Cricetulus griseus: one gene and its partner. The protein of the gene in region 2 purifies or fractionates together with the protein of the main gene of each other region. This does not show direct contact. Links are inferred from orthologs where the notes say so. Each region holds a gene or a part of one and is shown on either strand. Other genes may lie near its edges.

What was found. The genes of interacting proteins can lie anywhere in the genome.
Region 1: the proteins of Syncrip (region 2) and Snrnp70 purify together in Homo sapiens (affinity purification with mass spectrometry; 3 studies listed by BioGRID and IntAct, counting the BioPlex papers as one, with this or other methods). This does not show direct contact. The link is inferred for Cricetulus griseus from reciprocal best matches to the Homo sapiens genes SYNCRIP and SNRNP70.

The regions. Positions count from the first base shown.
Region 1 is NC_048599.1:154,300,787-154,304,450, forward strand, and holds the start of Snrnp70 (U1 small nuclear ribonucleoprotein 70 kDa), read right to left. Parts: upstream 2,812-3,664; 5' UTR 2,601-2,811; intron 2,341-2,600; exon of another isoform or gene 2,238-2,340; intron 1,964-2,237; 5' UTR 1,954-1,963; coding exon 1,807-1,953; intron 1-1,806. UniProt on the Homo sapiens protein: Component of the spliceosomal U1 snRNP, which is essential for recognition of the pre-mRNA 5' splice-site and the subsequent assembly of the spliceosome. SNRNP70 binds to the loop I region of U1-snRNA.
Region 2 is NC_048597.1:198,399,717-198,403,461, reverse strand, and holds the start of Syncrip (heterogeneous nuclear ribonucleoprotein Q), read left to right. Parts: upstream 1-1,036; 5' UTR 1,037-1,231; intron 1,232-2,532; 5' UTR 2,533-2,544; coding exon 2,545-2,692; intron 2,693-3,386; coding exon 3,387-3,505; intron 3,506-3,610; coding exon 3,611-3,718; intron 3,719-3,745. UniProt on the Homo sapiens protein: Heterogenous nuclear ribonucleoprotein (hnRNP) implicated in mRNA processing mechanisms. Component of the CRD-mediated complex that promotes MYC mRNA stability.

The DNA of each region.
Region 1 (3,664 bases), on a different chromosome or scaffold from region 2:
ACTCAGGAGGCAGAGGCAGGTGGATCTCTGAGATCCAGGCCAGCCTGGTCTACACAGTGAGTTCCAGGACAGCTAAGGATACACAGAAAAAAAACCTGTCTCAAAACAAAACAAAAAAGCACCTACAATGACTGGTAGACATTTGTTCTTCATCAGAGTGTAACATAAGTTACATAGCTGTAAAGTACAGTTCCAAAGCTACCTGGCAAGAAGAAGAAGAAAAAAAGCAGGGTGGTAGGGGTGCACACCTCTAATCCCAGCACTCAAGAAACTGAGGCAGTGTAGCTGGGCAGTGGTGGCACACACCTTTAGTCCCAACACTCGGGAGGCAGAGGCAGGCGGGTATCTGAGTTCTGAGGCCAGCCTGGTCTACAAGAGCTAGTTCCAGGACAGGCTCCAAAGTCACAGAGAAACCCTGTCTCAAAAACCAAAACCAAAACCAAAACAAAACAAAAAGCTACATGGCTCCCAAAGGAATTCTGCAACTCCCCACAGTTCCAAACAGAAACCCCAAAGAGTGGAGACACAAGACTTTAATCCCAGTACTTGAGTACTTGAGAGCACAAAGCCAAGTAGATGTATCTCTGCAAGCTTTAAAAAAAAAAAAAAGACAAAATGGGGCTGAAGAGATGGCTCAGCAGTTAAGAGCACCAGCTGTTCTTCCAGAGGACCTGAGTTCAATTCCCAGCACCCACATGGCAGCTCACACCTGTCTGTAACTCCAGTTCCAGGGGCTTTATGGCACCAAGGAAGCAGCATGCATATGATAAATAAGTTTTTAAAATAAATAAGTTTTTAAAAAATTCTTTTGATAGGTATTGTTTATTACATTTCTTTCTTTTTACTTAATTTTTCCGTTTATCTTACATCCAAAATAAATAAAGGAAATTAGCTGGTCCTGGAAGTGGACACCCATTAACTGCAGCATTTGGGAACCTAAGTAGGACTGGTATACCATCAAGGCCACTCTGAGCTACACTGTGGTAATGTCTTGCTTGTACAAATAAAGCCTGTTTGAGGGTCGGAGAATGAAGCTTGCCACTAAGAGGTCTGTAGATCTGTCCATTTACACTACATAGCAAAACTCTGTCTCAAAACTCAAACAAAGGGGCTAAGCACGATGGTTCTGCAAGTTAAGGCCCTTTTCACCAAAGGTAACAAACTCAGCTTGCTCTCCTGAGCCCACACAATGGAAAGAGAGATCTGATTCTTTCAAGTTGCCCCCTTATAGGTTTATAGGTTTGCACACACACATCCATACACACCACAAATACAAGTGTAATTAAAACTTAACGATGCCGGGCGTTGGTGGCGCACGCCTTTAGTCCCAGCACTCGGGAGGCAGAGGCAGGTGGATCTCTGTGAGTTCGAGGCCAGCCTGGTCTACAGAGCTAGTTCCCGGACAGACTCCAAAGCCACAGAGAAACCCTGTCTAGAAAAACGAAAAACAAAAACACTTAATGACGGGCTGGAGAGGTGACTTAGTGGGTAAGAGCACTGACTGCTCTTTCAGAGGACCAGGGTTCAATTCCTAGCACCCATATGGCAGCTTACAACTGTCTGTGATTCTGGTTCCAGGGTACCTGACATCCTTGCCAAACACCAATGCATATAAGATAAAAACTAATAAATTAAAAACTTAATATAAAAGAAATAGAACGCACACAAATGCAAAAACAAGATTAAGAAAAGTAAAATCATAAACCACAAAACTAAAATATGTTTAAAATCTCTACTCCAAAATGCAGCCTGCTCTCATTCAGCACCCAAGCCCTTCTAGTAGGCCCCATGTCTCCCTTTACTCACCTCAAATTCCCGGATGTATGGTGCAATGCCACAATAAGGTTGGTTGTGATGTTTTTCATGTGGCAGCTTTTCTAGGGGTGGCAAGTACGGGATGGGGTCTCGAGGGGCAAAGAGGGCCAGAAGGTTGGGAGGCAGAAACTGTGTCATCTTGCCAAACCTGAGACCAGAAACCTTAGGTTAGGGAACTTTAGCACAGGAGGTTCCCTCTAGAACCCCTTCACTCAAAATCAAACAAGCAGACAGGAGAGATCACGAGGACGCTGCTATCTATCCCGGGTGAGCCGGTGGAAGACATCTGCACGAAAAAGGTCGGTCTTGGCAGGAGCTGAGAAACAAAGGACTAAAAACACAGAAAACAAGGGAAAAGGAATCAGGAGGTGAGGGACCTAGAGACCTGAAGCACTAAGCTCAGAGGGTTGCTGGCCTCATACCTTGGAGATTACGAGGTAGGGGTCTCAAGGTAGTCCAAAAAGATCAAGCCAGGGGATCTGCGTAAAATATCTAGGATCCCAGAGGCGAACGGAATTATGGGTACAGATCCAGGATGCGACAAAAAAAAAAAAAAAAAAGCGAGGAAAAGAGGCAACACATAAAACGCAAGGGCCTGTGGGTAGGGGACCGCGAGAGGCAGGGGGAGGGGGACGCTGAGGGGACTCTGGGTAAAGGATGGGGTGGTTTGAAGCGCGGACCCGGTAAGCGGGCCTCAGGCGCGGGTAGAGAGTTCGGGGACCCCGCAAAGGCTTGTGGGTAGAGCGGACCCGAACCCCGTTAAGGCCACTCATTCACTCACTCACCGCGCGGCGCTCTCCTCGGCCTGACGTTAGTCTCAGGCCTCGCGGCCGCCGTTCACCAACAAAAACTCCCGCTCTGGCTTCCACTTCGGCGGCGTCTGCGTCAGCTACCTTCAGAGGTCCGCGCCGCGCGCGCAAACCAGGCCGCTCCTCACAACCCGCGCGGCCTCGGCTCGCGACAGGAACGGAGAGGGATCCGGTCTAGAATCCCTCCGCCGCACGCACCGCGCATGCGCCGCACGAGTCAAAAGACACCCATTTTGAGGTCTTGGCTCTACAGCGAGCACTGCGCACGCGCAAAGCCAAGACTCCGCCGTCAGAGTCCTTCAATGCTTAGGCTGCCTTGGCCTGGCAAGCGACGTGCGCATGCGTGCTCAGGCACTAGGTCGGCACCCACCTCGCGCTCTAGCCAACCGCCTATGCCCGCGAGACACTTACTGATGCCCCACCCCTTTCCCCTTACACTTCCCGGACCCTGTACGCATGCGTGAACGTAAAGTGCCAGGTGGAATATCCTTCCGCAGACTGTTAAAAAGTACCTACCTCATCAGGGTCATTGCTTTTATTTTATTTATTCATTTTTTTAAAGATTTATTTATTGTGTATACAGTGTTCTGTCTGCATGTGTCCCTGCAGGCCAGAGAGTGCACCAGATTTCATTACAGATGCTTCTGAGCCACCATGTGGTTGCTGGGAACTGAACTCAGGACATTTGGAAGAGCAGCCAGTGCTCTTAACTTCTGAGCCATCTCTCCATCCCGGGTCATTGCTTTTAAATTCTATTTAATGGATAAGTTCTCTCCCAAGTGTCTTGTATGTTCTAGACACTGTTTGAACTCTAGGGACACAACATGTGACAAAATAGTCTTCTTGGAGCTTACATTGTTTGGAAATATAATACGTTTGTTTAGTGGGTTTTCTTTTTTGTGTGTTCTGTTGTTTTATTTTTCTTTATTTTTTTACACAAGGTTTCACCGTTTGGCTCAAAATTACCTTGCAGTGTGTGTGTGTGTGTGTGTGTGTGTGTGTATGTGTTTTGGCTTTCTGAGACAGTTTTACTGTGTAGC
Region 2 (3,745 bases):
AACCCAACACCACCGGGCCGGTTAAGCTTCCAAATCTGGCCTCCGTGTCATCCCCGGGCGGGAGGCACTGGGATTTCCTCGCGAACCCGCCGCGCGGTGCCCCTCCCTCCGCCCAGGGGACTCGTGGGAGCGGGAGGACGGCGCGCGCCGGGCCGCGGGATGCCCCATTGTCCAGCGGCGGAAGCCGGGGCTCCCCGGGGTGACTCCCGAACTCGAGCCCCGCCACCCGGCCGCCCGGAGCTCCGCCATCCCCGTGCGGCTCCCCCCCGCAGCCCCATTGTCTGCCTCGCCTCGCCCCGCCCCGGGGGACACGTGCGCCTGCAGCTTCCCGAGCGCCCAGGGGCGGTGCGGCGGCGGCCCCGGCCGAGGTCCCGGCCGAGCGGGCGATTAGTGCCGGAGCCCCTCGGAGCCCTCGGAGCCCGGGGGCCGGCGGCGGGGCGGTGGGGCGGTGGGGGCGGGGAGGGCGGGGTGGGGAGATGCTTGTCTCCTGACAAAGAACGAGTGGGACACGCCGAGCAGGCCGCCCCGCCCGCGGAGCGCGAGGGAGTGTCCGCACGGAGGGCGGGTCTCTCATTCACTTGGCCCCTCATCGCCGCCGCGGCGGAAGGGCGGGGTCTCGACTCCCCTCTCCCCCTCCCCGCCAGGAGCTAGGGGCGGGGCGGGAGGCGGAGCCCACGGGCGCGCGTCCTGAGGCGTCGGCTGCGTCGTCACGTCAGCGCGGGAGAGAGAAAGAGCGACTCGGCAGGGACTGGGGACGGGCCGAGAGAGCTAGCGAGGGAGGGCGTGAGCCAGAGTGCCAGCGAGGAGGAGAGAAGGGCGGCCACTCGTGTCTGAGCGGCCGCGGACGGGAGTGGGGACGCTGGGGGAGGAGGTGCAGGGAGGGAAAGGAGGAAGGCCGAGGGGACAGGGCGGCCGGCGGCCGGCGGCGGCGGCGGCGCGGCGGCGGCAGGGGAGAAGGAGGAGCTGTAGGAGGGCAGGGGCTGAGGGAGTGAGTGAGAGAAGCGGACGCGCCAGGGAGGGGAGGGAAGGGGGGTCACGCGGGGGCGCGCGCGCGCACTGGGAGCGCGCTCGGAGGCGAGTGGAACTGGATCGGGTTTGCTGCCAGCGGCGTGAGCTTCGGCCGCCATTTTACAACAGCTCCACTCGCGCCGGACACAGGGAGCAGCGAGCACGCGTTCCCCGCCACCCGACCCGGTCGGACAGGATTCCTCGGCCGCAGCCCCGCGGGGAGGTAACGACCGCCGGCACCCGGGTCTGGGAGGGGGGCTCCATGACATTGTGGAGGGAGCTTGGGGGAGGGCGGCGCGGGGAGAAACCGGCTTTTCTGGAAAATGGATTCCAAGGGGGAGAGGAGCACGTTGGCCGGGGCTGCCAGGGAGTAGGCCGCGGCCGCGCCGCCACTTCCTCCTCTCCATGTGCTGCCGCGGCCGGGCTTTGTCTGCGGCGCTCCGGGAGGAGGCGCCTCGGCAGCCCCGTGGCCCGCGCGGACCGCGAGCGGCGGGCGGACTTGGTGCTGTCGTGGCCGGCGGCGCGGGAGTGGGCGGAGAGGCGCGGGGTGCTGTCCCGCGGCCGGCCGGCCGGCCGGCGGGCTTGGGCGGTGCTGGGCTCCCGCGGGCGTGCGCCTGGCGGCGGAACGCCCTCCCGGCGCGGGCTGTCGGCCTCGGCGCCCGCAGCCGCTGCACCGAGGGGTGCGGGAGGCCGGGGGTCGCGGGCGGCTGGGGAGCACCCGGGGCGGAGAGCCATGTGTCAAGGCGGAGACGGCGGCGCTGGGGGGCGGGGAGAGCCCGTGGCCTGGCGCCGCCGCGGCCTCGGTGTTGAGAGGCGAGATTGTGCGGCTGCACGGTTCGGGGGGCTCGGACCGCGACTGCGGGTTGATGTTGAGAGGCGGTGACGACCGCCTTGGCCCGGTACTCGGTGGGTTTCCGTTGAAGGAAGTTGTAGGACATTTGAAGGCGCAGAGCACGTGTTTCTAATGGGCTCCTGGCGGCCGCAGTGGTGAGGCTGCCGCTCCGGGTGCGGAGTCGGGGGCGGGCTTTGGGGTGTGGGGGTGAAGGGTGGAGGAATTGGGTGGTGGGAAGGTGGCTTGTGTGAGCGCTTTGTTCTTCGCTGGCTGTTGTTACTGATCTATAAGCGGCAGGCGGGAAAAGCGCACTTTCTGGTTTACCTTGGAGAGAGACAAGCCCAGCGTTGCTTTTCTTCACACACACCTTATTCTCCGTTTTGGAACTGCTGCATGTGGCAGGCTCGGCCGGTCCCTGTGCTGATTGGGCTTCATTTGTAATACGGTTTTTCCTAGCGAGTGTTAGCAGGTGAAGTCAGGGGTGGTGATCAGGAAAGAATGTAGTGCATCGGTCCGTCTGTACCCCGGGCTCCAAATCTGGCTTGTCAGGCGATGGTGACTTTAAGGTTTCTTTCGAGGGAGGCGCAGGCTGGCTGGTTGTAGTTACTGGTAGAAAGTAAAGATTGGGACTGTCATTGTCCTCTATTCTTTTTGAAGACCCTAGTTTAATTTTGCTTATTGCGTTTGAACAGATCTCTGGAAACATGGCTACAGAACATGTTAATGGAAATGGTACTGAAGAGCCCATGGATACTACTTCTGCAGTTATCCATTCAGAAAATTTTCAGACATTGCTTGATGCTGGTTTACCACAGAAAGTTGCTGAAAAACTAGATGAAATTTACGTTGCAGGTAAGAAACAACACTTGCAAAATTACATTATGAAATTTTTCTATTGGATTTCTGGCTTTGAGCTAAAATAGCAACTTTTTGTGGTTTCCAATAAATGTGGGAACTGGAGCTTTGCCTTGTTCTGATAGTTGGTTAATTTAGGTTTGATCTAGAGGTTAAAGTGTAGAGGGAGGGATGAAGTGGGGAAAAGACCTCCCTTAGGGGAACGCTGTCTGGCCTGACAGATAAGTATATGATAGTAGCAACAGCTGCTAAATGTTGAGAGCAGCCCATGTGACTTTTTGGGGTATTTTTAAAGCAGGGTTCTTGTTTAATAACTTGGTTACTGTAGGCTAGTTCTCTTGTTTTTCTTGGTGTGGTGGTTCCTTTTTTTCTAGTGGCATTTGACATTGAGTAGACTTGCAGTTGCTATGCTTGGTGTTTTGTTGGTTGACAGGATTTGTAGGCTTATATATTGTAGAAATATTGCAGTGTTCAGGATTACTTGGACACAAATGGGATGTAAAATATGTTGACTTCTTTCTGTGTGGTTGAGAGGACTTAGCTCAGAATGGCTAAAATATATTCTTCATTATGTAGATAAGGGGAGTAGAATCGCCACGTGTGTGTACCTGTATTGGCCAATACAGGACTTTCTGAAGAAATAATTTGGAAATTTTAAAAGGTGATAACTAACTACATTTTCTCTTTCCAGGGCTAGTTGCACATAGTGATTTAGATGAAAGAGCTATCGAAGCTTTAAAAGAGTTCAATGAAGACGGCGCATTGGCAGTTCTTCAACAATTTAAGGATAGTGATCTCTCTCATGTGCAGGTAATGTTAATTTCAGTGTAGAAAAAAGTACTTTTGATCTTATTTAAATTTAATTAGACACAGACATAATAGTAATGTTAATATGAATGGAAAATTTCATTACAGAACAAAAGTGCCTTTTTATGTGGAGTCATGAAGACTTACAGGCAGAGAGAGAAACAAGGGACCAAAGTAGCGGACTCCAGTAAAGGACCAGATGAGTCAAAGATTAAGGTATGTTTTTGAGAACTTTCTGTAGCT